2 linked regions of the Drosophila melanogaster genome follow. Changing the gene in region 1 together with any one later gene gives a genetic interaction. Each region holds a gene or a part of one and is shown in the gene's direction. Other genes may lie near its edges. The genes, in order: e(r) and r.

Evidence for each region.
Region 2: of e(r) (region 1) and r, changing one enhances a phenotype caused by changing the other (phenotypic enhancement), as found in Drosophila melanogaster (3 studies listed by BioGRID).

Annotation. Positions count from the first base shown.
Region 1 is NC_004354.4:8,896,597-8,912,215, reverse strand, and holds e(r) (enhancer of rudimentary), read left to right. Parts: upstream 1-5,967; 5' UTR 5,968-6,107; intron 6,108-6,225; exon of another isoform or gene 6,226-6,447; intron 6,448-6,627; exon of another isoform or gene 6,628-6,711; intron 6,712-6,831; 5' UTR 6,832-6,837; coding exon 6,838-7,152; 3' UTR 7,153-8,072; downstream 8,073-15,619. Other genes in the region: Rbm13 (RNA-binding motif protein 13), read right to left, coding at 8,859-9,014, 9,405-10,218, 10,290-10,336, 10,404-10,418; Uros1 (uroporphyrinogen III synthase 1), read left to right, coding at 12,156-12,989.
Region 2 is NC_004354.4:16,653,552-16,669,697, forward strand, and holds r (rudimentary), read left to right. Parts: upstream 1-1,807; 5' UTR 1,808-2,058; intron 2,059-2,539; exon of another isoform or gene 2,540-2,608; intron 2,609-2,833; 5' UTR 2,834-2,846; coding exon 2,847-3,605; intron 3,606-3,669; coding exon 3,670-6,921; intron 6,922-6,986; coding exon 6,987-7,091; intron 7,092-7,346; exon of another isoform or gene 7,347-7,520; coding exon of another isoform or gene 7,521-10,158; intron 10,159-10,287; coding exon of another isoform or gene 10,288-10,904; intron 10,905-11,636; coding exon 11,637-11,776; intron 11,777-12,483; coding exon 12,484-14,308; intron 14,309-14,385; coding exon 14,386-14,769; intron 14,770-14,833; coding exon 14,834-15,043; 3' UTR 15,044-15,161; downstream 15,162-16,146. Other genes in the region: Nemp (nuclear envelope integral membrane protein), read right to left, coding at 1-517, 585-1,316; CG15865 (uncharacterized protein), read right to left, coding at 7,521-10,158, 10,288-10,904; CG13012 (uncharacterized protein), read right to left, coding at 15,490-15,673, 15,762-15,891. UniProt on the Drosophila melanogaster protein: Multifunctional protein that encodes the first 3 enzymatic activities of the de novo pyrimidine pathway: carbamoylphosphate synthetase (CPSase; EC 6.3.5.5), aspartate transcarbamylase (ATCase; EC 2.1.3.2) and dihydroorotase (DHOase; EC 3.5.2.3).

The DNA of each region.
Region 1 (15,619 bases):
ATATATATATATATATTTTTAATATGAAAGTGATTGTATCTTAACATCACAGGGTGAAGAAATATTCTTAAGAACTACCAAACACGATAACAAAAGAAGTGAAGTAGAGCACTCTAGTAATTGCATATCTTTTAAATAAGTGCGTAAAAGTATGCAGCAGAAAAGTAATTCATTGTATTTAATATGCCTACAAGTATGCCACAAAAGGAATAGGAGTAACATTCATTGGTATTTAAATATTATTGCTTATATTAATTTCACCTTAATTAATTTTCACCTTGTTAAAAACTGAACGTAAAACCGGCTAGCTCTTTCAAGTGGAAACTAACACGGTACCACTGCGACGGTCACTCCAAGAACATTTGTTCTATCCACATTTGTGCCTTCGCAGAGCAGCAAATAATGCTGAAATGGGTCAGCGATTTTCGGGGGCGACATTGTGACGATAGGAAGGAAGCCATTCGCACGTGCTGCTCACCTTTTGGTAAATCGAATGGTAAGGAGGGGGGGTTGGGGCATTGGTGGTCAGTGTTGAATTTGCCACGTCGACGGGAAACGCCTTACTCAATTGAGGTAATCAAGTGCTCGTATTACCTAAATTGTGATTAAAACTATTGCCTGTGATTTGGCCATTCGATGCTGTGATTGCTTATTGCTGGCTATTGGCTTTTCAACGTTGTTATTTTATTGATTTTCAAAGCTAACTCGTTTTGTATCCTATAAAAAATTATAAGTTAACAATTATTGGCTTAGCTGCTTGGCTGCGTTTCCGCAAAATGCCCCCCCAAATGCGCCGTTTTTGTGCCATCTTTCCCATTTTGTTTTTCACACAGCTCATAAAACCATAAAATAAAAAAAAAAAACAAAAACGAAACAATATTTTAAATGAGCTAAGCTCGCAACGAGCGCGATTTAATGAGCCATTTCAATGCCGCGCAGCCTGTGGAATTGTTTCCCAATCCAAAACATTTTTTATGCATTTATCCGAACATTTGTTTTTAATAATGTTGTAAAATAAACAAAGCGAAAAATACGTAAAGGTTTTTGTTTTTTTTTTTTTTTTTTTGCATATGCGACGCAAAACATTTTGTTTTAAAACCCGGGCGTAAACATTTTTTACACAAATTATCAAATTATTATAATTCATTTAAGTGGAACAAATATGTATATCTTCATTGTTTGTAAATACATGCAGTTTTAAAAGCTATCGAAATAATAAATTTCACAATATCATACTAATTTTTTTTATATATATAAATCTGCCAGCAAGACAAAGTGCCAGGCGAATAATTAAGTCTCTGATTAGCTCAACTTGCAGTGCATTAAAAAAAAAAGACCTAAAATTCTGTTTCTCGACTTGCAATAAATCTTTCACTTTCACAAAAGTTGCAATAAAAGAAAAAATAAAAAAATAAAAACAGGGGTCAAAGCTGGCAATTATTTAAGTGCACCTTAATTGAAGTCGTTGCACTAACGATAATTTGAAAATTGAGTAAGCAAAAAATAGAAATAAAACAAACAAACAAAAACCAGAAACGTGTGTTTGCTGATGAATTGCTTTTCGCGGAGCATGTGGACGACGGTCATTGCCAAGGGCGTGATACTTTTGCCGGCAACTGTGACGAAAACAGCGGCAATTAAAAAATAAAAGGAAAAATACGAAATATTTATGTATTGTACATACGTATATAAAAAAAAAACCAAAAAAAAGGTGTCAACTCAGACAACCTTCAATGGCACACAATAAAAATCGGCGACCAAAGAAACCAGAAAACAATTGGCCAAAAAAAAAACCAAGCGGAAGAAACGAGAAAATCAAATTCAATCTCAATGGCAACGAATTTGTGATGCTCTTTAAAATGAATGGTATAAATACATGTGTTCTTTAACGTATATTATTACCTTATTAATAACTAGAATATTAACTCTATTTATCTGTCAGTTAGCAATTTGTAGTTCGCAGAAAAAAAACTCTCAAAAACCTATTGCTAAATGCTCTAAACCTTTAAAAAAAAACCCAACATTTTCGCACTAAAAAAAACTTTAAAACTTTAATGTACACTGATTCCTATCAGTTGAATGCCCGTTTCGTTATAAAGTTTTTTTTTTATGTTGGGCCAAAAGGCAACGACCAAGTCGACGAGTTTTTTTTCGAGGCGGCAAATTCGTAATGCAGAATAAATAACGCATAAATACAAATCCACGATAACAGCCAAATGCGGTAGCACGACAAAATAAAACAATAATCATAGCCCAGTAGAAATGCGAAACAATTACGCCAAATGTGGAGAAACCAAAAAACGAGCAAGAAAAAAAAACAGTCGTAAAACGTAGCAGCAAAAAAAAAACAACAGAACTAGAACTCTGTAGACTAACAGATACTCCTTGTTCTGTTCAACCTGGCTGGTTTGTAAGAATACAAATTTTTTTGGATTTTTTTGTGTAACAAAACTTGCAAAAAGAGCACAAAATTTAAACAAAATTACCAAATTTAAAACCAAATCGTTTGGCATTTAAAAAACAAGTTTAAGTTTCATTTCATTATTTCGAGTGCTCAAAATACTGATTATTTTTTACACAAAAAATAGGGAAAACAATTTTTGGCCAAAATTCATATTTACGATTGGTTTTTTCTGTATAACTTGGCTTAAAATTGGCAGAGAGCCAAAAGAACTACCGTTTTTTACTCCTAATTGACAATACTAACTATCCATATCCGTTTTTTACGGACTTTGTAAAATTAATTTTTGACCAAAATTTCGCATTTTTTGTAAGGGGTAACATCATAAAAAATGAAAAAAATTGAAAAAATTTACATTTCCAACTTTTGAATACAGTTCGATTAAAAATTTAAATACAAACTCAGCGATGTATGGCATTCCATAATCAGACAAATATTTTTCAAGTTGTGGCCAAAAAAATAGATATTTTATGACAAAAAATAGTAAAAACGGGTTTTGTCAAAAATTGAAATATTTTTGATTGGCATTTTAATCATAACTTGGCTAAAAATGATCATAAAGCTGAAAGAATAACTGTTTTGGGCAGCTAATTACCAATGCCAAACAGCCCTATCACTTTTTGACGTATTTGAAAAAATTAATTTTTTAAGAAATTTTCGCATTTTTTGTAAGGGGTAACATCATCAAAATTTGGAAAAAAATTGAAAAAATTAAAATTCCAATTTTTGAACACAGTTTAATTGGAAATTTAATTACGAGCTCAACGAGGTATGACATTCCATATTAAAAGCAATTAAACCAATGGAATTGTACAGATATACAGATTTAAGAATGATTGTTTAAAACATGAGTGCTGTTTAACTGTCATTATAAATATGAAACTATCTGGTTGTTAAAAAATTTATATTTCTCATCCGGGTAGTGGGAAATTAGCGACGCACCTTAAAACAAATAACAATACGCCTACAAAGTCGTTTATAATAGATACACAGCTTTTGCACACTTTTGACGATAAAAACGATGATGTTTCAAACACATCAGGGGCGCCCACGTTCTTATCAGTTGAGAATGTTCTTTACTTATCGGCGCCGTAAAGCAAACACTTTTCAAAAACGAGCGTTAAACAAGACAAATTATTACAGATGCTTAGATGCGATAATTGTAACCTAATTGTGATTAATTGTAACTAAATGATTAAAATTAAAATAAAAATCACAGTTTGAATGCACAAAATTGAAATAAAGTCGATTTCTCCATTTACAAAAACTTGATATCTCCATTTGGAAATTCTAATTGGTTTGCTCTCCTGCCTTTTCTGCTTCCACTCTCTCTCTCACTTCCAATTGGAATTGGGGACTAACGAAATGGAATCAAGTTCAAGGCCACGATCGATTGATTGCCATCTCTGTCGCACTTGTTGGATGTGACTCACCTGCTGATTGGAATGAAGCTGCGCTGCTCCTCCTCTGCCGGCGTTGCCTCCTCATCGACGTTGGCAGAGGCAGCGACCTCTGACGTCACGGGGCGGTAAATCAAAGGCTTCACGTTGCGTTCGAAATCGTCGAGGAAAACGACATCGTGGACGGGAATAATGCGGTGATCGGTGACGTTGAAGTGGAGATCGCGAAAGGGGCCGTTGAAGAGGCAGCGCAACGGTGACGTCACCAGCACAGCATCTTCCGGAGGTAACTGTAAAAAATGTACAATATTTGTTGTATTTTAACGTATATCAAACATTTACTGATATAGTTTTATATTAAATCAAATACACCGCAACAAATCTCGTGCAAACATCAGATAAGATATTGATACGATACGATAATTAGTATAATATTTAAACAATGCGCAGTCAGGAGAAATATAGAATGGCTTATCAATTTTAAAATAAAACTAACGGAAACAGTAATATTGTACATATTTCAGTTTCAACTCAAAGCATAAGTTTCTCTGTAGCCAAGACACCATTTGGTAAGTTAAGAAAACTATTAAGTGGACGTTTTTTTTTTTACCTTGATTTTGCCATTGGTCGCCGAGAACATTGAGATTTCGAGATTTCAGCGATAAGAGATGAGCAACAACACAAATCAAATAGAATGCACAAGAAACACAGATACAACACCCACACATGAATGATCGTGCAACGGTGTGCGCAGAACAGTGAAGAGGAAGCAGAGAGACGAAGCAGAGGCGACAAATTGGACACGCGTGCGTCGCGTTGGTTGGATTTTGTGTTTTCTTATTTGACTATTGCCTTTTCGGTGCTACTTTAACGGGTTTCCCCGTTTCACAGCCTTTATCATCTTATTTTCGCAGGGCTTTTTTGCTTTTCAATTTACTGCCTGGGTTTCATTTAACTTCGCTGCTCTTCTACTTCATTCATTATTTGATTTGTTTACGTTGCTATTTCCCAATTTGTTTGCTTCTTTTCACTTCATTTTCTTTCAATTAGGACGCACACAAACACACAGGAAAAAACAAAAAAAAAAAAAGAGAGACACGAACGCCACTTGCACAATTGAAAATAACAACAAATTAATGGGAACGCGCGAAACACGGGCTGCTGCGGCTGCGCCTTCACTTTTCACTAAAACAAAAAGCACGTAAATAATGTTGAGACGAGATTTTGCTTTTTGTTGTTGATTTCTTTGCCGATCGCTCTGCCGCCGCTCGACTGCGCTGCCCGCGACACCGCGCTCTTCCAATTGGTCCAATTGAGATCAAACAGCTGGTGGGCACTCGGATCTTCGATTGCCGCTGTCTGGCAGCACTGGGAACAGTGAGAACAGTGGCCAGACTGCGGAGCTGGCGATGGGCGATAGTTTTGTTTCATTAAAAGTAACTTTTGACTTTATATTAAATACAATACTAAAAAATGTAAAAATATGCTTTTTAATATGCACTTTAAGTGAAAATGATTGTACATTAAGTTTACTTCATAAAGACTTTAATGACCATAATTTGTTGATGGGCGTTAATTTTATTCTAACTTAAATAAACGTAATACCTAATATTTATATGTAATAACAAAATAAAATGAACCTAAATAAATAATGCAATCCACTTTAATTTGACATTATAATTATAATTTTTTTATAAATATATAAAATAAAAATAATAAATAAATAATTTCCGTAGTTATTGTAATGTATTACTATGATGAGTATATGTTAAAAGCTTTAGTTAATTTTATTTAAAAAATCTGAAGACTAAATATGGAATGAATTACGCCAAATGAAATGAAAATATGCATTGAAAAACATGCTTTATACCTAAAGGCGTAATATACATAAAGTGTGCTTTTCAATAAAAAAGTGAATGAACATAATATGGAATCAAATACATATACAAATTGAAATGCAAGTATACATTGATACAATTAAGTATAAAAAATCACAATTGTCATTTAATTTGGTAAATATTATTAAACAATGTATATCAAATAAAAGATGTTAGTATTAATCGATATCTTTCGATTATTTTGTCACGGCGAGGCACGCAGCGAAGCGCTCATCTCTAGCTTCAGCCTCCTCTTCAAAACCCATAGAACTGGCAAAATAAAAAAAAACGAATCAAGCGCTGATTTTACCGAATCTCTTTACTGAATCAGCATATTATCATAGTCCATATAGTCCGGCGTTCGAACGGGTAAGTTGAACACTAAACGGGAGACATGGGAATTATTTAAAATTCGAGAAAAATCGGTGAAAAGGAAGAAAAACAAGTGATTGCATACAGTTAGTTACACACACGCGGCGGCCGTTACTCCTTGTACATGTGTGTGCGTGTCTGTTCGCGCTTCCGAATGTTTGTGTTTTAGTGAAGCGGCATAAGCGTGCATTATCTTGTACAAATGTACGCATTTCTCCATTGCCAACATTCGCTTCACACACAAATTACTCGTTTTCCATGCTGGAAGTGCCATCTTAGTCTATTTCCCAGTTGCAAATTGGAAAATCAAAGAGCGTTCTGCTGGCCAGCATGTGTGGTGCGCGTGTATTGGTGTTGCGGCGAGAGCGCGAGCGAGATGGGGCGATGCGTTGCATGCGGCAACAGCATATCTCTTCCATCTCTTTCGTTTTTGTTCTTTTCCTTTTTTTTTTGTCTTTTTTTTTTTTGCTGACAGCTCTCTATGCTTCTAATAAATATTTATGCACAATTTTTGCAGAGCTGGCGAAGTAAACTTCAACTTCGAGAGTCTCGGAATCTTTCGGACTTTGCTATAGAAAAAACGCTTGTTAAAAAAAAGGATGTAAGTGATGAAGATGAAACGTAATGTAATGAAACGCACACTAGTAACATACATACATACATATCGCTTGAGTACATAGATCACCGCCAATAACATTAATGTTCCATTTTTGCCTTGCAGATCACCATGTCGCACACCATCCTATTGGTACAGCCGGGTGCTCGTCCGGAGACCCGCACTTACTGTGACTACGAGAGCGTCAACGAGTGCATGGAGGGCGTGTGCAAGATCTACGAGGAGCACCTGAAGCGCCGCAATCCAAACACTCCGACCATTACGTATGACATTAGCCAGCTATTCGATTTCATCGACACAATGGTGGACATTAGCTGCATGGTTTACCAGAAGAGCACCAATACCTATGCGCCCTACAATAAGGATTGGATCAAGGAGAAGATCTATGTGCTGCTCCGTCAGGCGGCATTTAGTTCCAATACCTAAAGGGACGGCGATGCGACAAGATACATACATATAAAACCAAATAACACGATGATGCATGCATCAATGCGTGCAACACTAACGACAACAACACGTTGATGTATGCAACAATGCGTGCAATAGCAACTACAACAACAACAACAATACGAGGATACATGCAACAGCGCTTGGAACAGCATCCGCAACGGCCACAACACCATAACACCAATAACACCAACAAGATGAGGAAGAAGAAGAAGATGATGATGGAGTGGTGGGGCATCGATTCCATTGGAGACTTGCTGCTACCGACTAGATCGCCAAATGACAGCAACTTTTTTTTGCAACATAACGCAATGCAAAAAAGGAAAAGGAACACAAAGAGAACGATAAACTGTATAACTTAGAAATGGAAAACTTACTTTAAACGTACTAATATATATATATATATATAAATATATATATAGGCGTATATATATATATATACTGTATATACACCCAACTGACAACTGTGTGTGTTTTTGTGTGTTTCAATGTTTTTTTGTGCGGCAGCCACAGGTGACGGTTGTTCTTATCGATAGCGAACTGTATGTTTGTTTGTTTGTAAAACCGAATGGCAAATTTGCAAGTGTGCATTTTTTTTTTGTATGTTTTGCCGTGTGTGCTAGCTTAAGTCTTTGCAATCTATCGAATAATAAACTAACACATCAGGACACACTGAGCATATATAAACATATTTGTAAACTACTGATTCCCCCCCCCCCCCTTTATCATTTGAACTTAGTTAAACAACAACTTTTAGCCCGCTGATTTTGCACACCGATGGGCTTTGTGGCGTTTTAACGGCTTGTTTTAAGCAAAACAGAACCTTTGGTCGCAGATGCGAAATGACCTTGAGATGCTGGTTGTTGTGTGTGTGGTGAGGGGGGAGGGGTAGGGGTTTGTGGGTTGTACCCCCGCCAGATATTCAATCGGATAACGAACTTGGACCGCCGCTGAATCGCTTGGCCGCACTGCATTGAACTTGGCGTGCGATATTTAATTAGCTCCGCGACAGCATTTTGTTAAATATATATATATATATATATATATATGTATATATGCACATTTAGTGTCGACTTGTGGATGCTGCTTACTAGCGTTAACTAGCAATAAACATAGTGTTTATAGTTTACCCATTATATTTGCTGAATATTAATGATCACTAGATTTCTCATTATTCAGACAAATATATTTGTTTGTGAAAAAAGCATTTGCTACAGCAAACTGTACAGTTTATTACAAAAATATGTATATATATTTTCAAAAAAAAAAAAAAAAGAATTTCTCCTATTTAAAGTAGTTTGCTTGCCACGCAACTCCGCGCTTTTTACAGGGTATGCAATAGCGCTACAGCTGCGTCGAATATGGTGCATAGTTTTTTTTTTTAGAATATTTTTCAAAACTGGTTTTAAACACTGCATTGTCGCCACACCGCCCCGCACCGCCCACTTTCAATGTCAGTTAGCCAGCCTCGCTTTTTGGCCAGAAAGCAAAGCGAATGGGATGCAGATGAAGTGCATCCTGCATGAGATGCATTTTTCGGTCATATAGTGTTGCACTTGTCTAGTTTTGTTTTTTTTTCTTTCTTTTTTATGTAAAATACTATTCTTAACCGGCTAAACAATAAGCGTTAACAGCTAAGTGGATTGAGCATGGGGGGGGGGGAGAAATATATATTGTGGACCTGGCTAATGGCGCATCTGCCGCTGTGCCTCCTTCTCCACCTCATACTCGTACTCCAGCTGCAGTTTGGGCTTCGAGCGGCTGCGTCGACTGTTGCCCGCCGGCGATTTCTTGTCCTTCTTCGCTTTGCTGGCGGTTTTCTTGGCTGGCACTTTGGTCTCCTGTTAGAATGCAATTGTTCGTTTTAAGTTCGGTTTGGCAATTGGAATTTAGTTTTGTTTCGTTTTAGTTTTCTTTTTTTTGGCAATTTTCTGGAGCTGTTAGTTAGCGCGCACTGAATGGAAACCGACGCAACTGAATGAAAAGCGGCGAACGGCGCTCGGAAAGCTTTATTCTCCAAGCTCCAAGCGGGCAGAACTCGTTTGCTATTTCTAATTATGGTAATTTCGGAAGAAGGTGGCAGGATTTAAGCAATTGCCAACTATTTACATACTCAGAATTTTCAATATTAAAAGAAATTCATTGAAAAAGGATTTGGAAATCGTTAAATGCTCCAGAAAACTGCCAACAAAATAAAAAAGAAAAGCCTGATACATGACCAGAAACACTACCTCAATATCATCTGCATCCGCATCGTCATCCTCGTCGGACTCCTCGAAATCGCTGCCCACCTCGACCTCTTCCCGCTTGCCGGAATCGCTGTCGTAGTCGTCCTCGTCATCATCATCATCATCATCATCATCCTCCTCCTCATCGTCCGTATCTGCCTCGACGAACTCCTCGTCGAGCAGGGATCTCTGTACTTCCTCAGCTTCGCGTGAATCGTCGCCGTCCACCTCCATTTCGCGCTCCAGCTGCTCCTCATTCTCGTCTTCGTCGTCTAGCTCCTCCTCATCATCCTCGTCCACGCGTTCCGCCTCCAGAGCCTTGTTGAAAGCGGTCTGCGAAAAGTTGTAGATGTCGCGATAGGTGCCATTCTTCAGACGATCCATCAGCGCCTTCTCGATGTGATTGTCGATCTTGGCGGCCACCAAGGCCTTCTCCTCGCGCCGCGCCTCCCGCCGTTCGATCTTCGTCGATAGCGGCACAATGAGCTTCTGGCGGCGCAACTTCAGACGACGCATTCGTATCAGATATTGGGTGATCTTGAGGAAACGCTGCTTATTCTTGGCGATCATGTATTTGGGCCAGAAAACCAAATTCTCGTTGATCTGTTCGATGGCCTTCTCGAAGTTTCTGGACAACTTGATCCTCTCCCACAATTTGCTCGGCATATGCGCTCTCTCCGCCGTCTTGATGAACAAATAGATGATGCCCTTCTCCTCGCGAACGGTGGCATATTGTGAATTGGCCAGCGGACACGTTCTGCGTGTGCACAGACCCGTGAGATTGTACTCATGGCGGCAGAAGGTGCGTGTGTCGGTTCTGTGTGATTTAGATTGCCATTGAATACATAAATTTTCTACATAATTATAATTAACTGCATTTCAACTCACTTCACTTTGTGCGAACAGAAGGACTTGTTGATGATGCTCCAGACCACCTGGCAAATTGATAATAATCTGATTAGGACACCAACAAATGTGCATATTCATACACCTGCTACTCACATCGTCGTGCTGCATGGCGCCGTTTTGTTATTAACGAAATGCCTTCAATGATAAAAAACAACCAACTTACTTTGAAACACGTGCAAATTCAACACACAATATTGCGCTATCGATAGCCGTGTGCCGCCGGTTGGCATTATCGATAGCACCGATGACAGTTGCAATCGCCAGCGTGGCCAGATGGCAATGAATTCAAATTTCTTATATTCCAATTCCCAATTTATATTGAGAAAGAAAAAAAAAACGCACTTTTGTGTGTTAATAGCTTATAAAATTAGAGCAAGTTCTTTATTAGCAGTAATGTATTACGTGTCTTCATCCATCTGGCAAATGAAATACAATTTGGTATCACAATTAAATTCGGACATATATTGGGGATCCACCGCAACGCAGGATTTGCTGTGATTGGTTTTATAACTATGTCTTTGGAATATCGTTGATTGCTTTCCAGAAGCCAGGGATACGAACTTCTTGGTTTTCAAATCATTTATACCCGTCCAGTACCACCAGAACTTCAATCTTGCCTGAATGGTCTTAAGTTCCTCTTCGTTCTTAAAAGCTGCCAAAAAACCGCCGAATTCGCGACATGCAGCTGCCGCATCAGCCCAGGAAATTTCCACATTATTTTCTATATAGAATGATCGCTTGCCAATTAACGCAAACTTCTGTGGCAGAGGCTCCACTGTAGTACTGGAATACATTTCTAACAGACTTTCGATTTTGTTGCTGGATATTTGAAAACGGGATTGCGTTCTATTGCGAAACGCTTCCTGTTGGGCATTTTTTTTGCTGTGCAATTTCATTTGCTGGCTGGATAAATCCGTTTCTTTGTGTGAAATCGATAAGATTCTGTCCAATTTGGAATTGATTTCACTCATTAAATCAATCATAGAAAGCTGATTGGCTAGACAGGTTTCTTTTTTATGCAGTGGCTTGCCCAAGGATCCTCGCAAAACCAGGACGATCAATAACACAAAATATGAAAGCTTCATCATTTTAAGCACACACTGAAGAAAAACTTAAAAATAATAAATTTTTTTAGTGAAAAATTATTATTATTTTACTCTGCGTTGTCGCATCGATCAAATCTGAAATAGTTCTAAAGAATTCCGATGTATTCTGCTCGAAATACGTAAAAACTCTTGATTCATTGGAAAAATATCTGATAACGAATGTGAGAAAATACCCATGAATAAGTTAAATTTACATACTCATGATTAAGTTGTATTTATATGTGTGAGAAGATATTCTTACTGATAATCTTACAGTTTCCAAAGCTGGTTTATAATAATGCGAATGTACAATTGTAAAATTGTAACAATCAAATGAAATATTTTAAAAATCACAACAGTGTGGCCACCCTTGGGTAGTCGCCAAAAAACAGCTGATTATAAAAACGGCATATAATGAGCAGAAATAAAAAAACAAAAATTAAGTAAATATAGCAAATTAAATCCTTTAACTTCAAAACAAAAGCATAAATTTAAAATATATAAACAGTAATGCCGTTAGCTCGACGATCTGGCAGCCCTGCGGACAGCCGGCACAACAGCTGATTAGAGGGAGACAGCACGAGGCTGCTGGTGCACAAAATTCGACTCTTATTTATATATTTTTATTTTCGCAATAGAAGGCGCAGCAAAGGCGGCAACAGTGGGCGGGGCAAGTAAGCGCTGGCGGAAAACTCGACAAAGGAAAATTCAGCACACAGTTTGCGTCCGATCAAAGTGAGAAACGTGAGCCAGCAGCAAGATGACGAGTCGCCAGCGAACTGTGATCATATTCAAATCGGAATCGGAAAGCAGCGATGTGTACGCAGAAACGCTGGAGAAGCACGATTTCAATCCCGTCTTTGTGCCCACGCTGAGTTTCGGCTTCAAGAATCTCGATGAGCTGCGCGCCAAGCTTCAGAATCCGGATAAATATGCCGGCATCATATTCACATCGCCGCGCTGCGTGGAGGCCGTGGCTGAATCCCTCAATCTCGGCGAGCTACCCGGCGGTTGGAAGATGTTGCATAACTATGCCGTCGGCGAGGTGACCCACAATCTGGCGCTAAGCACCTTGGACCAGCTATTCACCCACGGCAAACAGACGGGCAATGCCCGGGCATTGGGCGACTATATAGTGGATACGTTCGATGGATCGCGTGCATTGCCGCTACTATTGCCATGCGGTAATCTGGCCACCGATACGCTGCTATCCAAGCTGGCCGAGAATGGCTTCTCCGTGGATGCGTGCGAAGTGTACGAGACGCGCTGTCATCCCGAATTGGGCGCCAATGTGGAGAGGGCATTGGAGATTTATGGCGAGTCGATTGAATTTCTTGCCTTCTTCTCGCCATCGGGCGTCAATTGTGCACAGCAGTACTTCACCAGCCGTCAGCTATCGATGGACAAATGGAAGCTGGTGGCCATCGGGCCGAGCACTAGGCGTGCCCTCGAATCGCTGGGCCAAAAGGTTTACTGCACCGCCGAGCGGCCGACGGTGGAGCATCTGGTCAAGGTGCTGCTCAATCCGCAGGACAGTCGGGAGCGGTTGCTCAAGGAGCGCGAACGGATGGCCGCCATCGAGAATAACAATTAATCCTAAGATTTCTTAAGCTTTCGCAGCTCCAACGGCTAATCTCCACAAATCATCATCGGATCTATCATTTATATGGATACAAATCCAAGTGGGGAGTTCTTATGGCCTGAATCTTTATAGTTATCCACAAGTAACTATGATGAACACAATCTGTAATTTCTATTTTATAAAATAAGATTTTCCATCATCGCATTGGTAGTAACAATTTTGAATAAGTTATGTAGAAAATTTCGAGCTTTGGTTGTGATTCGATTCGATTGATTAGTTATCTTTATAATTTCGAATACCTGTACAAGTTTTTCTCTATCGATTTGAAATCCAAGGATGGGTAATTAGTTTCCTGATCGAAACGTAAAAAAAAAGACTAAAACTCATGGTTTTTTTTTTTGTTTTTCTTTTTTTTTTATTTCGATTGACCTCCGAGCGAGTACAAAATTAGCGGCATGAAATGCCGACGTCTTTATTTTCTGTTTACTATTGGATTAAGCTGAATAAATTGTTTCTTTTCTAAATTTAGTTGGTCGTCTTTGTGGGTCAAATAGCAAATAGGAGGTGGCAACGAAGTGGAGTAGAATTAAGCAATTACAATTAAATTTAAACAATTTGCTTTGGAGTTTTCACTTGATTCTATTATTGGGGTAACTTTTTAATTTTTTTGTAATAACTTTAAAATAAATCATAAAGAGCACTTTTTTGTTTTCCAGAATTATTATTTTTAAATAATTTGTTTTTTTATATATTAATATAAATCTACACAAAGAAAAAGGAATGAAAGGTTTTTTCAAATTTAATTATAAATCGGCTTTTGAATTTATGCAAACAGTGGCAACGCCTGGCTTGAAGATTTACACGGCGCTGCCAGATCGATCATTTGCGAAGCGGCAACCTTCCACGCGATAGTATCGATTAAGGTTCCATCTCCTTTTGTTTTTCGTTTTGGCTCTTTTTTTTGCGTTTATTTGATTTTTCCTTTCGTTTGCGAAGCAACAGGAAAACAAAGAAAGCTCACGAAAAACACGCGGCAATTGGATAAGAAACGAAATGTAAGTGGAAACCAAAATAAAACTACGAAATTCCAAGACATAAGATAAAAGCGCAACAAGCCCACACACACACACACAGGCACGCGGCTCTCTTTCACACACACACACACACGCATACTTGCACACACCGGCAAAAGTTGAGCGTTGGAAAAAAAAAACGGTTTTTATTGTCCGCTTATTTTTTCATTCGTGTTGCGATTTGCTTAACGACGGAACTCATTTTTTTTACGTGTGTGTGCAAAAATAAAACTAAAAGGAAAACCTACGAAAAAGGCAGGAAAATAATAAAAACACAAGTTTTTCTTTTGCCGGCAAGCAAAAACAATAAGTGCTCTGCATGCGTGTGTGAGTTTTGCATACTTTAACTGTCTTCTTTTCATAATTTGTACTCTAAATAATAAGAAAGAATTGTGGAACAAGCGAAGAAAGAGTGTAAAGCAAAAACGCTGAAATACCGGTATGTGGCAGTGTGTGTGCGAAAGAGAGGGGTAGAGTGATTGGAGTGTGAGTCATTAACCGGCATTAAAAAAAGCTAAAATAAATAGCCACTTTTCAAATTAAAAGTCAATACAATACATTGTTACAAATGAGTAGTAAATTCATTTACCTTGCCTCCCTCTCGCACGCACAGTAAAAGCCTCAGAAAGTCGGTTAAATAGTAATACGGCGTTAGAGCGAGAAAGCGCTAGAATTTTGGGAGTGAATTTTTAATTTTTCGGGCAGCTGCTCAAAGTCAAAATGCGTGTGGGATTTGGTGTGTGTGTGTGTGCGTTTAAAGCGTGTGAAAATTGCAGCCGCCACTCCAACCACCGTTTTTCCCAAAGTTTTTCACCTTTGTCTCGCCCTTGTCTACTCCCCTTCGCTCCATCCCTTTCGCACACTTATCCCATTAGCATGAAGTCGCATTTTCCAGTTAGAACATCGCGCTTCCAGTTGGAACTGCGTAAGGCGCTTTTTCTTCCAACCAGATTAACTGGCGATCGGAGATGGCTCCTAAAGTAGCTAAGAATGAAATAGCTGGTATATTTTGCAAAAAAAAAAAAAAAAAAAACAGTTTATTCTAGATTTATTTGTAATTTTTAAAAGGCATTTATGATAACAGAAATAAATATTTTTATATGTTATATCATTTAAAAGTATTTTTATTGGCTCAAATAATCATAGGACTATATATAACCTCGGTGCGTAGTCACGTTTTGTGGACCCATCACTACTCTGATATCATGACTAACTGGGGATCCAAAGCTCATCGCTATCGAAGCAGTTTGATGGCCCGTTTTTAATACGGGTTCGAAGAGCTGTTAGAATTTCCCGCTCTGCCACTCCCCACCCCCCTCCCCTGCTATCTATAACGTGTTTGATTATTTATTATTATTGAACCGGGACACTTTCAAGCTGTTTTTATGCCTCTTCGATTCCCCGATGTCTGCTTTCTTTTGTGATTTGTCACATAAACTGACTCAGCCGATTTGTACCATTAACAAGATGGCAGATTCAAGATCAGATGCATATTGAAAATACATAAAAAGCTCCGAAAAAAAGTATTCGTTTTTAAATCATTGATAAAAATATGTAAAAAAAAGGGAA
Region 2 (16,146 bases), 7.7 Mb from region 1:
ACTGCGAGTTGGGCAGCGGCAGTAACTCCGCTGGTTTATCCTCCTCAGGTTCCTCCACTGATTCCTCCTCGGGCGCCGCATCCATGGACTCCTCGATGGTGCGCGAGTGGTCCTCGATCTCTTCGTCGTCCAGATGCGGTGCTCCATTGGCGAACGAGGCGAAGCGCAAAGGATCACGCAGTTTGCCCATCACCGCCCACTGCTTGCACTCCGGACTGTTGACGTACTTGCGCAGGTCCGCCAGCGATTTCGAGGTCTCCACGGCCGTCTGCTGTTCGTACTCCTCCTGGGTGAGCATGCGCCTCTTTAGCGGAAAACGGCGGCGATACATGAACTTGATCTGGTTCGTCCACGAAATGGGGAAGTAGTGGGCCACAAAGACCAGCACCATGATGAAGATCACGGCGCTGGTGTGCCAGCTGCTGAAGTAAGCCATAACGGCGCCAATGGCCTGCAGCACCCACATGACGATGGTTTGCGATCGAGGATTCTTGGGCGGACCAATGCGATAGCAGATCTGTAGAATAATCGAGGCAATTAGCTGGGGTTATCTAATCAAAAGGGAATATCAAGTGACTACGCACCAGGAACGAGATCAGTCCGGTGATCACCAGATAGCCCAGCACATGGTCGCGGTAGGTGATCAGAATCAAACGCAGATTGTCCGCCAGCTGTTTGATCACATAGAAGCCAATGGTCCAGCCGCCAATTAGGACGCCATACATCATGGTACGTCGCGGAAAGAGTTTGGCGGCCAAATAGATGACCACCAGCAGGGAGGCGCATATGCCGATGACAATGCCGACCAGATAGTAGAACACACTGTTCTTTGCTAGCCGCCGGGCGCTGAAGAGGATCAGTATGCCGACGGCGAACTGTGCGAGACGCCACAGATCCAGCGGAATGCTATTCAGAATGACGGTGTACGCCTGGCGGGAGGAAATCCCGATGCACTGCTGCTCGAAGGGCGAGAGCTGCAGCAGCTGGCGCTTCTGCGCGAACAGGGTGATGCTGAACAGCGATTGCTTGTCCTTGTAGTGCTGCAACACCTCCTCCGGCGTCTTCCCACCGTACTGGGAATAATCATCGCTCCCGATGGCCAGGACGAACTCCACAGTCTCGAAGAGACTTGACACCGTCAGCCGTTTACCCGGATAGCAGAACGTGCGCAGAGTCTGCAGTCCCAAGATGTTCTCCGACAAATTGATGTATGTGCCCGGCGTCAGGTAGGCGACGTCCGAGGAAGCCGTATTGCCAGGAATACCCGATGTGAAATATCCAGCCACGGTTAGCATCAGTAGTCCAGCCGAATGCATTATGAACGGTTGCAATGGCGTTAATCTTATCAATCAGTGCGCTTTCAGTCTGTTGCTCTCGCAGGACGTTCGCTTGTTAAATGCTGACTTGCTTATGCTTGATGTTTTGATGTTTACTTTACTTTAAGGAATCGAATGAAAAAGCAACGCCGCTTTGGTTTATGTCCTCACTCACGACGGGACGGGCAGTATATCGTAACGTAAGAAAAATGTATCGATAGGTGTGTGTGTGACTACACTGTTGTGATTTCAAATTTGTGACTAACCATTTAATTGTGGATTATTTATTTCCTTTGGAATACTTTGCAGAACACCCCATTTAAACATGTTTGCTAATATTATTACAAATATCTTATCTTATTCATAACAATAAATGAATATATAACGTTCTTGCCAAGTTCCCAACCTGCAATATTACTTCTAGTAAAGTTCCACACCGCCGAGCTAAGCTCTTGCTGTGGCATTTTTTAGCACATAATGCACGAAGATTCCGATTCAACCAAGGCGGTGAATTCAGTTGTTCGACTTTGATTTTCCAGACGTTAATTGGAGCCAATTTGCAAGCAAACACAGTTAAATGCTCAAACTAAACATATCCGAGCAGTGCGAAGTTAACCAGCTCTAAAAGCGGTGTCGCAAAGTAAACAAATCAAGTTGTCAATCGAATTAAAGTCGAAACCAAAACGTGTTCACAACTACAAGTGCAGCAAAGAGAGAGCTTCGCTTGAAAGTACACGGAATCGTAAGTGAGCTGTAGTTGTAACGGGTGCAGATGGGAAAAGGATAACTTGATGGCGATACTAATGCATCGTAGCTTAAGGATTCTCAGTTGGTTAATCCTCAATTCCTGCCCAAAGTCCAATTCAAAGTTAAAGTCAATGTTATTGTTATTCTCATTTGCTGACCGAACCGGTTTCCAATTGGATCCAAACTTCTCACACGTGCTTACGCACACACAAAACGCACCCTCTCACACTCGCTCTTCCTCTTTCTTCTCCGCCGCTAGTCATCGTGTAAACAAACCGTGAATGGCAATATCAAATGACAACAGGAACTTGAAACGCTTGATAAGCAGTGTCCATTCCCAATCAGAACCGTGTTGTGCCCCGCTCAACATGTTGCCAGACAGTTAAATACATGCATACATTCATCTATCGCGGCTTCCTATTGGATTCTTTGTATATTTTCTTGGGCCGGCAAACTGTGTGCGTGTGACGGTGTGTTTATAAACACATGTGTTTTTTGAACAAGATAACCTGTGGAATTATATTACATTACATTTAAAATCGAGGGTATGCACGCGCTCTGCGTAAACATATAGCATAGTCATAGCATATACTCATTAAGTAAAGTTCCCAGAGTCGCCGAATATTGTTATCAGATTTTCGACTCAATATTGTGTCTACTTGCCTTCGTAGAGATATGATCTTTTAATTAATTAACTTTGCTCGTTTATTTAAGACGGTTTTCGAGTGACAGGTACTAAAGAATACCCTATGGTTTCCAATCCTCCCCAGCAACTCGTCCAATATGGCCTCTACGGACTGTTACCTCGCACTGGAGGATGGCACAGTGTTGCCCGGGTACTCCTTTGGCTACGTTCCCTCGGAGAATGAATCCAAAGTGGGTTTTGGTGGCGAGGTGGTCTTCCAAACGGGCATGGTTGGCTACACGGAGGCGCTCACGGATCGATCGTACAGTGGTCAGATCCTGGTGCTTACCTATCCACTGATCGGTAACTATGGGGTACCAGCGCCGGATGAGGACGAGCACGGACTGCCGCTGCACTTCGAGTGGATGAAAGGCGTCGTCCAGGCCACCGCCTTGGTGGTGGGCGAGGTGGCTGAAGAGGCATTTCACTGGCGCAAATGGAAGACGCTGCCCGATTGGCTGAAGCAGCACAAGGTGCCCGGAATTCAAGACATTGATACTCGAGCCCTGACCAAAAAACTGAGGGAGCAGGGAAGCATGCTAGGCAAGATTGTCTACGAGAAACCGCCGGTCGAAGGGCTGCCCAAGTCCAGTTTCGTAGATCCGAACGTCAGGAATTTGGCCAAGGAGTGCAGCGTTAAGGAGCGACAAGTGTACGGTAATCCCAATGGCAAGGGACCACGGATCGCCATTCTGGACTGTGGACTGAAGCTCAACCAGTTGCGCTGCCTGCTGCAACGTGGCGCCTCGGTGACCTTGCTCCCCTGGAGCGCTCGTCTCGAGGATGAGCAGTTCGACGCCCTCTTTCTGTCTAACGGACCTGGTAATCCGGAGAGCTGCGACCAGATCGTCCAACAGGTGGGTCACAATTGAATCATTTGGATAGAATATAATGCTAATTTAACTAATCTTTTGTTTCTAGGTGAGAAAAGTGATTGAGGAGGGTCAAAAGCCCGTCTTTGGAATATGTCTGGGTCACCAGCTGTTAGCGAAGGCAATCGGCTGCTCTACTTACAAAATGAAGTACGGCAATCGAGGACACAATCTGCCCTGCCTGCACCGAGCAACTGGACGTTGCCTGATGACGTCGCAGAATCACGGATACGCGGTCGATTTGGAGCAGTTGCCCGACGGCTGGTCGGAGCTATTTGTGAATGCCAACGACGGCACCAACGAGGGCATTGTCCATGCCAGCAAGCCCTACTTTTCGGTTCAGTTCCATCCGGAGCATCATGCTGGACCGCAGGACACGGAGTTCCTGTTCGATGTCTTTATGGAGAGCATTCAACAGAAGGATTTGACCATTCCGCAGCTGATCGAGCAGCGACTGCGTCCGACTACGCCTGCCATAGATTCGGCTCCAGTGATGCCGCGCAAAGTCCTAATCCTGGGATCCGGTGGACTGTCCATTGGTCAGGCTGGCGAGTTTGACTACTCCGGATCGCAGGCCATCAAGGCCATGAGGGAATCAAACATTCAAACAGTGCTCATCAATCCGAACATAGCCACCGTTCAGACCTCTAAGGGAATGGCCGACAAGTGCTACTTCCTTCCCCTAACACCTCACTATGTTGAGCAGGTGATTAAGTCGGAGCGTCCGAACGGAGTACTGCTCACCTTTGGCGGCCAGACCGCTCTCAATTGTGGCGTGCAACTGGAGCGAGCCGGAGTTTTCTCCAAATACAATGTCCGCATTTTGGGCACACCCATCCAGTCGATCATCGAGACGGAGGATCGCAAGCTCTTTGCCGAGCGGGTCAACGAGATTGGCGAGCAGGTGGCGCCATCTGAGGCTGTGTACTCCGTTGCCCAGGCACTGGATGCGGCCAGTCGCTTGGGTTATCCGGTGATGGCCCGTGCTGCCTTCTCCCTGGGCGGACTGGGTTCCGGGTTCGCCAACAACGAGGAGGAGCTGCAGAGCCTGGCCCAACAGGCACTGGCCCACTCGAGCCAACTAATTGTGGACAAATCCCTGAAGGGTTGGAAGGAGGTGGAGTACGAGGTGGTGCGCGATGCCTACAACAACTGCATTACCGTATGCAACATGGAGAACTTCGATCCCCTGGGCATCCACACGGGCGAGAGTATTGTGGTGGCCCCATCGCAGACCCTCTCGGATCGCGAGTACCAAATGCTCCGCAGCACCGCCCTGAAGGTTATCCGTCACTTTGGTGTCGTTGGCGAGTGCAACATTCAGTACGCCTTGTGTCCCCATTCGGAGCAGTACTACATTATCGAGGTGAACGCCCGACTGTCGCGCAGCTCCGCGTTGGCCAGCAAGGCCACCGGCTATCCACTGGCCTATGTGGCCGCCAAGTTGGCTTTGGGATTGCCCCTGCCAGATATCAAGAACTCGGTGACGGGCAATACGACGGCCTGCTTTGAGCCATCCCTCGATTACTGTGTGGTCAAGATTCCACGCTGGGATTTGGCCAAATTCGTGCGGGTTAGCAAGCACATTGGCAGCTCGATGAAAAGTGTCGGTGAGGTGATGGCCATCGGTCGCAACTTCGAGGAAGCGTTCCAAAAAGCCCTGCGCATGGTGGACAGCGATGTGCTTGGCTTTGATCCGGATGTGGTTCCGCTTAACAAGGAGCAGCTGGCCGAGCAGCTTTCGGAGCCGACGGATCGTCGTCCCTTCGTCATTGCCGCTGCTTTGCAATTGGGCATGAGCCTTAGGGAGCTGCATCAACTAACCAATATCGATTATTGGTTTCTGGAAAAGCTGGAAAGGATCATCTTACTGCAGTCCCTGCTCACCCGTAATGGCAGTCGAACCGATGCCGCTCTGCTGTTGAAGGCCAAGCGTTTTGGTTTTTCGGACAAGCAGATAGCTAAGTACATTAAGAGCACGGAGCTGGCTGTTCGTCACCAGCGGCAGGAGTTTGGCATCCGCCCGCATGTCAAGCAGATCGACACGGTGGCCGGCGAATGGCCCGCCAGTACCAACTATCTGTACCACACATATAACGGAAGCGAGCACGATGTGGACTTCCCCGGCGGACACACTATTGTGGTGGGCTCGGGCGTCTATCGTATCGGATCCTCAGTGGAGTTTGATTGGTGTGCCGTGGGCTGCCTGCGCGAATTGAGGAAGCTACAGCGACCCACCATCATGATTAACTACAATCCTGAAACGGTTTCCACCGACTACGATATGTGCGATCGCTTGTATTTCGAGGAGATTAGCTTCGAGGTGGTCATGGACATCTACGAGATGGAGAATAGCGAGGGCATCATTCTGTCCATGGGCGGCCAGCTGCCCAACAATATAGCCATGGATCTGCATCGCCAGCAGGCGAAGGTGTTGGGCACATCGCCGGAGTCCATCGACTGTGCCGAAAATCGATTTAAATTCTCGCGCATGCTGGACAGGAAGGGTATCTTGCAGCCACGCTGGAAGGAGCTGACCAACCTACAGTCGGCCATCGAATTTTGCGAGGAGGTTGGCTATCCCTGTCTGGTTAGGCCATCCTATGTGCTCTCCGGTGCGGCCATGAATGTGGCCTATTCCAATCAGGATCTGGAGACATATCTGAACGCCGCCTCCGAGGTGAGTCGCGAGCATCCGGTTGTCATTTCGAAGTTCCTCACCGAGGCCAAGGAGATCGATGTGGATGCAGTGGCATCCGATGGACGCATCCTGTGCATGGCTGTTTCGGAGCACGTGGAGAATGCCGGAGTGCATTCAGGTGATGCCACGCTGGTTACCCCACCGCAGGATCTGAATGCGGAGACCCTGGAGGCCATTAAACGGATCACATGCGATTTGGCCAGCGTACTGGATGTCACCGGTCCCTTCAACATGCAGCTAATTGCCAAGAACAACGAGCTGAAGGTCATCGAATGCAATGTCCGTGTGTCGCGATCCTTCCCCTTCGTCTCCAAGACGCTGGACCACGACTTTGTGGCCACGGCGACGCGTGCGATTGTGGGACTCGATGTGGAGCCACTGGATGTGCTCCATGGCGTCGGCAAGGTGGGCGTCAAGGTGCCACAGTTCAGTTTCTCGCGGCTCGCGGGCGCGGATGTACAGCTGGGCGTCGAGATGGCCTCCACCGGTGAGGTTGCCTGCTTCGGGGACAACCGCTATGAGGCGTATCTCAAGGCCATGATGTCCACGGGCTTCCAGATACCCAAGAACGCCGTACTTCTCTCCATTGGCAGTTTCAAGGTTTGTTGGCCACTCCATTGATTATTGATATTAGTTACTCCATTAATAACTCCATTCATCTGCAGCACAAGATGGAGCTGCTGCCTTCCATACGGGATCTGGCCAAGATGGGTTACAAGCTATACGCTTCCATGGGCACTGGCGACTTTTATGCCGAACACGGAGTTAATGTGAGTATATTTATGTCTGTGTGCTTATTGTATATCATGCAACTTTAATCAAAATCCATTGGAGATGCGAGTCAACAAAGTTGAGTAGTTTCAATACTCATTTCCTACTATTTGTTTTCCCTGACTTGGTTTACAAATTGAACGGTTGTTTATATTGCATTATTTATTTTCCATGACATTGGTTTACAAATTCAATAACATTATTATCATAGAGAAATTACGTTGATTTCAAGATTACTAATTACGAAAATATATATGGCGCACATGGTATGGACAATAATTATGGCCCATAACTATATATATATTTCTATCTCTATCTCTAACCGCCCTTATCACAACTGGTTTATCTGTTATCAATATATCAATATATCACTAATCGCCGGGATTTAGCAATTTGGCTACTATATGGTAGTATTATCTTTAGTGTCTCTAGTTGAATGCGCCCTTGAGCTTCTGTGCGTTGCGCTTGAGGATCTCCTTGAGTTCATCCCGCTTGGCCTCGGATGGGGCTACTCTTTGGACCAGTTGCTCCGTTTTGCTGCCCAGCATTTGCACCTTATCCGTGTCGAGGGAGAGCCTTTGAAGGATTCCGTTTAGCGAGAGAAATGATTCCTCCTTGGCTGTTTCCTCCGATTTTGATTTGATTCCCGTTTGCGGCTTAAGGCTATCCACTTCAGGAGAATCTATTGGTTCTCTATCTCTTTGGACATTGGGTTTTTCTTCTATGCGACTTTCTATTTCCCGAAGCAACGCGCTCTTGATCTCCTCCTCCTGTAGGGGTTCAATGGCGTTCGCATCCTCTTGGTGGTGAGCTCTTAGAATCCCATTGAGCTGATGGTTTTCCAGATGGGGCATATGCTTCTGCATGGCCAGCGGTTCTGGAGTGTGTATCTGCACGACATGCTCCTGGAACTTGATGGATTTCCTTGGCGCTGGCGGAGATTCAACCACCGTGGAGGGACTGCCGCCCGATGACGTTGGTATATGCGATTCACACATGCGTTCCATATCGCTGGCTGCGTTCTGTAGTTCCTGGACGAAGTGCTGTGCCTGCTGCGAGCAACCGAGGTGCTGATAAAGGCGGCACAATCTTTGCCCATGCTCCAGATAAAGCTGTGCATGTCCACGGTTGCCAAACCGAATGGCACGAGCCAACATGGCCAGCGAATGATCCAGCAGAAGTTCGATCAGATTGCTCCTTCGCAGGATCTCCAAGCCGTTGTTCAGTTGCGGTTTCGCTGCTTCCTGGCTCTTGGAACTTTCCGGATTGGAGCGTGCCAATAGCAATTGGCGATCCAGGGAGTCGAGCGAGCAACGTCTTTGTTCCGTCGCCGAGATTTGAAATTGCTGAGTCGTGGCCCTTAAGAGCTGTGTCTTCCTGCGCAGCTTTCCTCTCGAGCGCTCCTGGTGCTGAGCCAATCCCAAGAGTCCCTTGGCATCGGTGATCTCCGTCCTTTCGGTTTTTTTTTTCGTTTCCACCTGCTGCCCGCCATTGTTTTCTTCACAGTTCTGCAGAGCGGGAAATCCCTGACGTGGACGCGAGAACTTGCCCCGTCCGTGCAGCTCCAGGTAATCCTGGCTAAAGAGATTCTCCAACAGTCGCTTGTACTCCAGTTGCGGGTAGAATTCCGGCGCGTGCTGAAGATTCCTCAGTGCCTGGATGACATGCAGCAGCGGTTGTTCCGCAATTCCGGCCATTATGCTGCGCAGCTTCATCAGCGTATCCTCTGGGATATGCTCGAATAGATTGCGCCGCTCAATGAAGTAGTCGCTCAGGTGTTTCTTGGCCAAACAGGCGTCGAAGGAGCGAATGAATCGAACCAATCGCTCGCCCAGAAACTCCTCTGGCCAATCATTGCTGTGCTGCTCACATTGCCAAAACATATGGGCTCTCAGCTGTTCGAGCAAAGCTCCCGGGGATTGGTCACAGGATGTGGTTGATTCGTCCACAAAGGTTTTGACCAGCAGCTTCATTAGTTGGAACACCTTCAATTGCATGGGCGTCAGGCAGTGCCGCTCGAGAAACTGTTCCGCCTGGGGAAAGACAATGCGCCATTCCAGTTCCCTGAAGGGATTTCGCGAACGCTTTGGTGCATAGCCCACTGGTACAACATGGAAGCCCATGGATCGAATACGTTTTTTCATCTGCTCCGTTGGCCATTGGAATTGTTCGGCAGTATGGAGGTTGGTCAAACGAGGACGAGCCCTCAGCCAAAACTCGAAGGCGCAATCCGGCCAGGAATTGGGCACATGAATGGCGGGCACCAGCTCCTCGCGAGCGGTATATACACTACAGCCGCGATACGAACACGCGGCCAGCTGCGATTGGCTGATGCCCAATTGGTTAGCCAAATGATGACGCAGCACCTCTCCAAAGTACAACATGAACTGCTGCGAACTGAGGTAGCACTGCTGCAGTTGCTCCACATGACACTGGCGAAGCACCTCCACCGTTTCATAGCCAGCCGGTGGATATTTGCGATTATCGGAATTCGCCTCATCCTTCTCGTCCTCGTCACTGCTGGAGGCGGCGGAGGATGACTCCTCGTCGTCGGTTTGCTCTAGCCAAGGAGGCAGACAATTGGCCAAACGGCGAATGCAATTCCCAGGTAGGACATTCCTCTGGAAATTGAAATCGCGATCAAATCGCAGCTCCTCCAGCGGTCGCGGAGTATTCAACCTGGCCAAGTAGACATAATCGTAGTCCCCCGAACTGTAGCCCGAGGATGGGGAGTTGGATGCGGAGGATCCCACATCACCGTAGATGCATTCCTCATCGCTGCTGGCCGGCAAAGATAAGCTGGAGCTAGTGGGCGTGCCCGCCTGCGGATGCGGCAATTGGTCGCGCAGCTTGAGGCGAACATAGCCCATCCACCTGGTCATCTCCATCAAGTTGACTAGCTCCGAGGGGCAGGGCGTGGTCCGGTAGTAGTCCGTCTCCAGGAGCACCTTGCACAGTGCCGCCACGGTGTCGTAGTTGGCATCGTGGGGTCGCGCCACGTCAACGTTCTCAAAGACCACATAGGTCACGGGTTTCTGCAGCAGCTGTGGTGGACTCTTCGAAGATCTGAAATCGGTTATAAATACATATATTAAAAACCAATTTTAAAATGAAAAAAGAGAAGATCATAAAATGTAGGCAAAAAAGTATAGAAAAATCTAGAAAGTATGGAGAGAGGATAAGGAAAAGACTTACGGCGGCTTGAAGAGCAGGTTCCTGGCGACAGCTGCATCGATGGCGCTACTTTGGAGCAAGCTGTGCTCGGCCAGCTTTTCGGCGGAGCAGTTGCGTCGCCTGGCCACGATTTGGGCATCGACCACGGCCATCTCGGCCTCGAAGTGCCCAAAGAACTGGATACCCAGAAGCAATTGGTTCAGCAGGAAGGTGTGCAGTTCGCGGTCCAATTGGTGTAGGGTCCTCTGCTCCACGGTCCGCTGGAACTCCTCGCGCTGCTGCTCCAATGTTCTGGCATACAGGGCACTGACACATTCGGTGGCCGTGCTTCCATTGCTGCCGCCCAGTAGACGCAGTTGCAGGGCGAGATCAGGATGGCTTTTTCCGTTGATGTGTCGTCTGTGAATCGATCCACCACGACCGAGGAAAGATCCTCCGGCGCTGGCAGATCCAGATCCTGCGCCCTTCTTTCGGCGACGTTTACGCGCGTTACGCTTTTGGAGCTTCTGCAGCTGGCGGAGATGCTTCTCCTCTTGGCGCCGCCTCCTCTGTTGGCGCTGGGCGGGAATGCCCGCCTGCAGGGCATTGGGCGTGGCACTGGAATCCACCTGCTCGGATCGCGACCAGGAGCAGCCCATACTCAACGGACGATCGCTGATTTGTGACTGAATTCCGGCTGATAAAGTGTACAATCTGCGATCGGAGTTCACCAATCACCAATTACCAATTACCTGCGATCTGCGATCTAGTAATGGCAATCGGAAAGATAAGAGCTGAACGACTCTTCCGGCCACCACCTCCTTCGGCCCAATTATCCATTATCAGCCAGTTCCTGGTGCTTCCATGAAAACGGAATTGATTTCCACTTCACTGTGCCGCACAAACAGACAAAAAACTCAAGGAGGCGTCTAAAATAGATGGTCTTCAAAGGAAATATAATATAAAAATTGATCTATTGAATTCTTATCTTAAAATAGTAACTTAAGATTTTCTTCTGATTGCACTCTTAGTTCGATTGAATATATCTTATTACCACTATTCACATATCAAATGTTCAAAGTTCGATTTATTTGGAATTATTGTGTAAGATCGTACATATCTGCACCACTGTGCCATTGCCATGGCCTGTTGCTCTATTGTCTTCGATGTAGACATGAAAGATCCATAAATAATGGTATCTATATGGTGTACTCTGGGCAAACAATTGATTGGAAGTAGAGTTGGTGGCGCGGATGACGATGACATGTGGCCTTGGTGATGATCGGTCGGTCGCATTCTCTATATATATATATATATATATATACCATTGTATATGATCTATGTCTATGTACGAGTAAATATTGTATATATGTGTGCTTTTGCCCTTGCAGGTGGAATCCGTGCAGTGGACATTCGACAAGACGACTCCCGATGACATCAACGGTGAGCTGAGACACCTGGCCGAGTTCCTGGCCAACAAGCAGTTCGACCTGGTCATCAACCTCCCGATGAGCGGCGGGGGTGCCAGGCGGTGAGTACGATTCGATGGTGACTCTTTTTAATGGCCCCCAAATATATATGCCACTAAGTTGGTGATCCATGGAACTTCAGGAAGAAGTCTGCAAGTGCGAATAGTATTTGTTTTCTAATTGTGTTTACCTATAAAACATATATAACATATTTCTTGTAGCGGATATGCATATTTATATAGCTAACCTACTTTGATAAAAGTTCTGTTTTCAGGGGTATTAACGACTTAATGATTCAATATTCAAACAAATGTTAGTCACTGGAATTTTTGGGCCTTGAACACAGTTTGCACAACAATTTGGCATATAATTTAAGTTATTAAGTTATAAAAAGGGCTTGTCTTAATTCCATTTCTTATCTGGCTCAGACATCTTAAATGTTATTTATATTTTCTTTAAAGTCCAATTGGAGTGCAAAGTACTTATAACTGAGTGCAAAGAATTTTCGTTTGTGTGGAGTAAAACTGATATCCGAACGATATATTTTTAGTGTTTTTTATAAAATTGAAGACAGTTCCAAACCTAAAAAGTATATCTTGTCATGTCCGTATGTCAGTTTATCCGTGTGTTTTTACGCAAGCTATTCTCTTATTTTTAAAATTAGAGCAATTAGTTGAAGAATTAATAGTTGTTAGTTTTAAGGCAGTGCCTTTTGATTATATGTACATATGTATCTCCAAGTAAATGTGATTTCCTGATACTATTCCAGGGTCTCCTCGTTCATGACCCATGGCTACCGCACCCGTCGCCTGGCCGTGGACTACTCCATTCCGCTGGTGACCGATGTGAAGTGCACCAAGCTTCTGGTAGAATCAATGCGAATGAACGGTGGCAAGCCGCCAATGAAGACGCACACGGATTGTATGACCTCGCGTAGAATTGTGAAGCTGCCGGGCTTCATCGATGTGCATGTGCATTTGCGGGAGCCGGGAGCCACGCACAAGGAGGACTTTGCCAGTGGAACAGCAGCCGCTCTGGCTGGCGGCGTGACCCTCGTGTGCGCCATGCCCAATACAAATCCCTCGATCGTGGACAGAGAGACGTTCACCCAGTTCCAGGAGCTGGCCAAAGCGGGAGCTCGATGCGACTATGCCCTGTATGTGGGGGCCTCGGATGACAATTGGGCGCAGGTCAACGAGCTGGCCAGTCATGCGTGTGGCCTTAAGATGTACTTAAACGACACTTTCGGCACCCTAAAACTGAGCGACATGACCAGCTGGCAGAGGCATCTCAGCCACTGGCCCAAGCGGTCTCCCATCGTTTGTCATGCGGAGAGGCAGAGCACAGCGGCTGTGATTATGCTGGCCCATCTTCTCGACCGTTCGGTTCACATCTGCCATGTGGCGCGAAAGGAGGAGATCCAATTGATTCGTTCCGCCAAGGAAAAGGGCGTCAAGGTGACCTGCGAGGTGTGCCCCCATCACTTGTTCCTCAGCACCAAGGATGTGGAGCGTTTGGGTCACGGAATGTCCGAGGTAAGGCCATTGCTCTGCTCACCGGAGGATCAAGAGGCTCTGTGGGAGAATATTGATTACATCGATGTATTTGCCACCGATCACGCGCCACACACACTGGCCGAGAAACGTTCGGAGCGTCCACCGCCTGGATTTCCGGGCGTGGAGACCATTCTGCCGCTCCTCCTGCAGGCTGTTCACGAGGGTCGTTTGACGATGGAGGACATCAAGAGGAAGTTCCATCGCAATCCAAAAATCATCTTCAACCTGCCGGATCAGGCGCAGACCTACGTGGAGGTGGATCTCGACGAGGAGTGGACCATAACGGGCAATGAGATGAAGAGCAAGTCCGGCTGGACACCATTTGAGGGCACCAAGGTCAAGGGACGCGTCCACCGGGTGGTTCTTCGCGGCGAGGTGGCCTTCGTCGATGGCCAAGTGTTGGTGCAGCCCGGCTTCGGGCAGAATGTGCGCCCCAAACAGAGTCCATTGGCGTCGGAGGCATCACAGGATCTGCTGCCCAGCGACAACGATGCCAATGACACCTTTACCCGCCTCCTCACCTCCGAAGGACCCGGTGGAGGCGTACATGGAATATCGACCAAGGTGCACTTTGTGGACGGAGCCAACTTCCTGCGCCCCAACTCGCCATCCCCACGCATCCGTCTGGATTCCGCCAGCAACACCACGCTGCGGGAATACTTGCAGCGCACTACCAACTCAAATCCGGTGGCCCACTCGCTAATGGGCAAGCACATCCTTGCCGTTGACATGTTCAACAAAGATCACCTCAACGACATCTTTAACCTGGCACAGCTGCTCAAGCTGCGGGGTACGAAGGATCGTCCGGTGGACGAGCTGCTGCCAGGCAAGATCATGGCCAGTGTGTTTTACGAGGTCAGCACGCGGACGCAGTGCAGCTTTGCAGCTGCCATGCTGCGTTTGGGAGGGCGAGTGATCAGCATGGACAACATCACGTCGTCGGTGAAGAAGGGCGAGAGCCTGGAGGACAGCATCAAGGTTGTGTCCAGCTATGCCGACGTCGTGGTGCTCCGTCATCCATCGCCCGGAGCTGTAGCGGTGAGTAGAAGTCCGTGGAACCGTGTTCTATATGCCATTGAATCCATTATCTACTTAATTTTTTTTATTTCCAACAGCGCGCAGCGACCTTCTCCCGAAAGCCGCTTATCAATGCCGGCGATGGCGTCGGTGAGCATCCCACGCAGGCGCTGCTGGACATCTTCACCATCCGCGAGGAGTTTGGCACTGTGAACGGGCTGACCATCACCATGGTGGGCGACTTGAAGAACGGACGGACCGTGCACTCGCTGGCCCGCCTGCTGACCCTGTACAATGTGAACCTGCAGTATGTGGCGCCGAATAGCCTGCAGATGCCCGATGAGGTCGTCCAGTTCGTCCATCAGCGCGGCGTCAAGCAGTTATTTGCACGCGACCTAAAGAATGTGCTGCCCGACACGGATGTGCTCTACATGACTCGCATTCAGCGCGAGCGTTTTGATAACGTGGAAGATTACGAGAAGGTAAAAAGGGTCTCAATTTTACTTGCTATACTACTTGCTCATTCCCACTGCTTTCCTTCGACAGTGCTGTGGCCATCTGGTGTTGACGCCCGAGCATATGATGCGGGCCAAGAAGCGTTCGATTGTTCTGCATCCGCTGCCGCGTCTGAACGAGATCAGCCGGGAGATCGACTCGGACCCAAGGGCCGCCTACTTCCGGCAGGCGGAGTACGGCATGTACATCCGTATGGCCTTGCTGGCCATGGTCGTTGGTGGACGCAATACGGCGCTCTAGAGGATTTACCCATGGAAAACCCACAATCTTTGACTCTCTACTATTATTTTTGTATACTATCTTTTTTATACCACACATGTACGCAGCTGCATACGAATATATTTGATCCATTTCGGTTAATTGTTTGTGTCTTTATGGATGAACATATAATACTTGTATCTGCATCCAAAACATGCAAAAATCATATCTTTCTCTGGAAAATGTGAAACAGTTTTACGGTTTTCCCTTTAATTCTAACAAATATATATTTTCACATATTTCATAGTATAGCAGTATAATATTTTAACAAGCAAAAAAAAAAAAATAAGGTGTCATATGTTATATAGATTAATTATAAGATGGTGATGGAAATCCTTATTCTAAGTGTCAGTCTCAAACGTTTACAATAAACATCACGTGCCCATGTGCCGCTGGTTGACGGTGGTGCTTGGTGCTTCCTGCTTCCACTAGTACCGCTCCACCACCACGGCTGTGGGTCGCCATTGATCCTCTGTGTCCTGCTTGACCTTGTCCAAGGTCAGAGTGCTCTCAGCGAACGCTGCGTTCAAGTTACCGGCCAACTGGGGCTGATCCTGCGCCACACTGGTCATGGCCACCACATTGGCGGAGGAATTGCTCTTCCGGTTGGTGCTGCATTTTTTTAAACGACAAAAATCAGAATATTATATGCAATTATCTATATAATTGGCTAAGCATATGTATGTATGTATGCTGTTACCTCTTCTGCTTGCGACAAGATACCATGGACACGAGGACGGCCAAAATGATGATGGCCGCCAAAAGGCCGGATAATCCGGCCACCATGGTCATCATGCCGTGCGGCTCCCCATCAGAGGTCACCTTGGTAACTGCAAAACCGAGAGAAAGCCGCCGGTTAGTGAGCGAGTGAATGATTGATTGACGGACTACTGGAGGTGACGTGCTGCTCCAATTTGGCAGGTGTGAAATGTAAATTGACCCAAGGTCAACTGTAAAGCTAAAGCAAACTCTAAAAAATAAACATATATATGTAAAGACATGACTTCACCGCACTAAACGGCCTTAAAAATGCATAAATGTATTGACGATTTTCGTAAAAGGCAATCCTCTGTTGATACAAAATT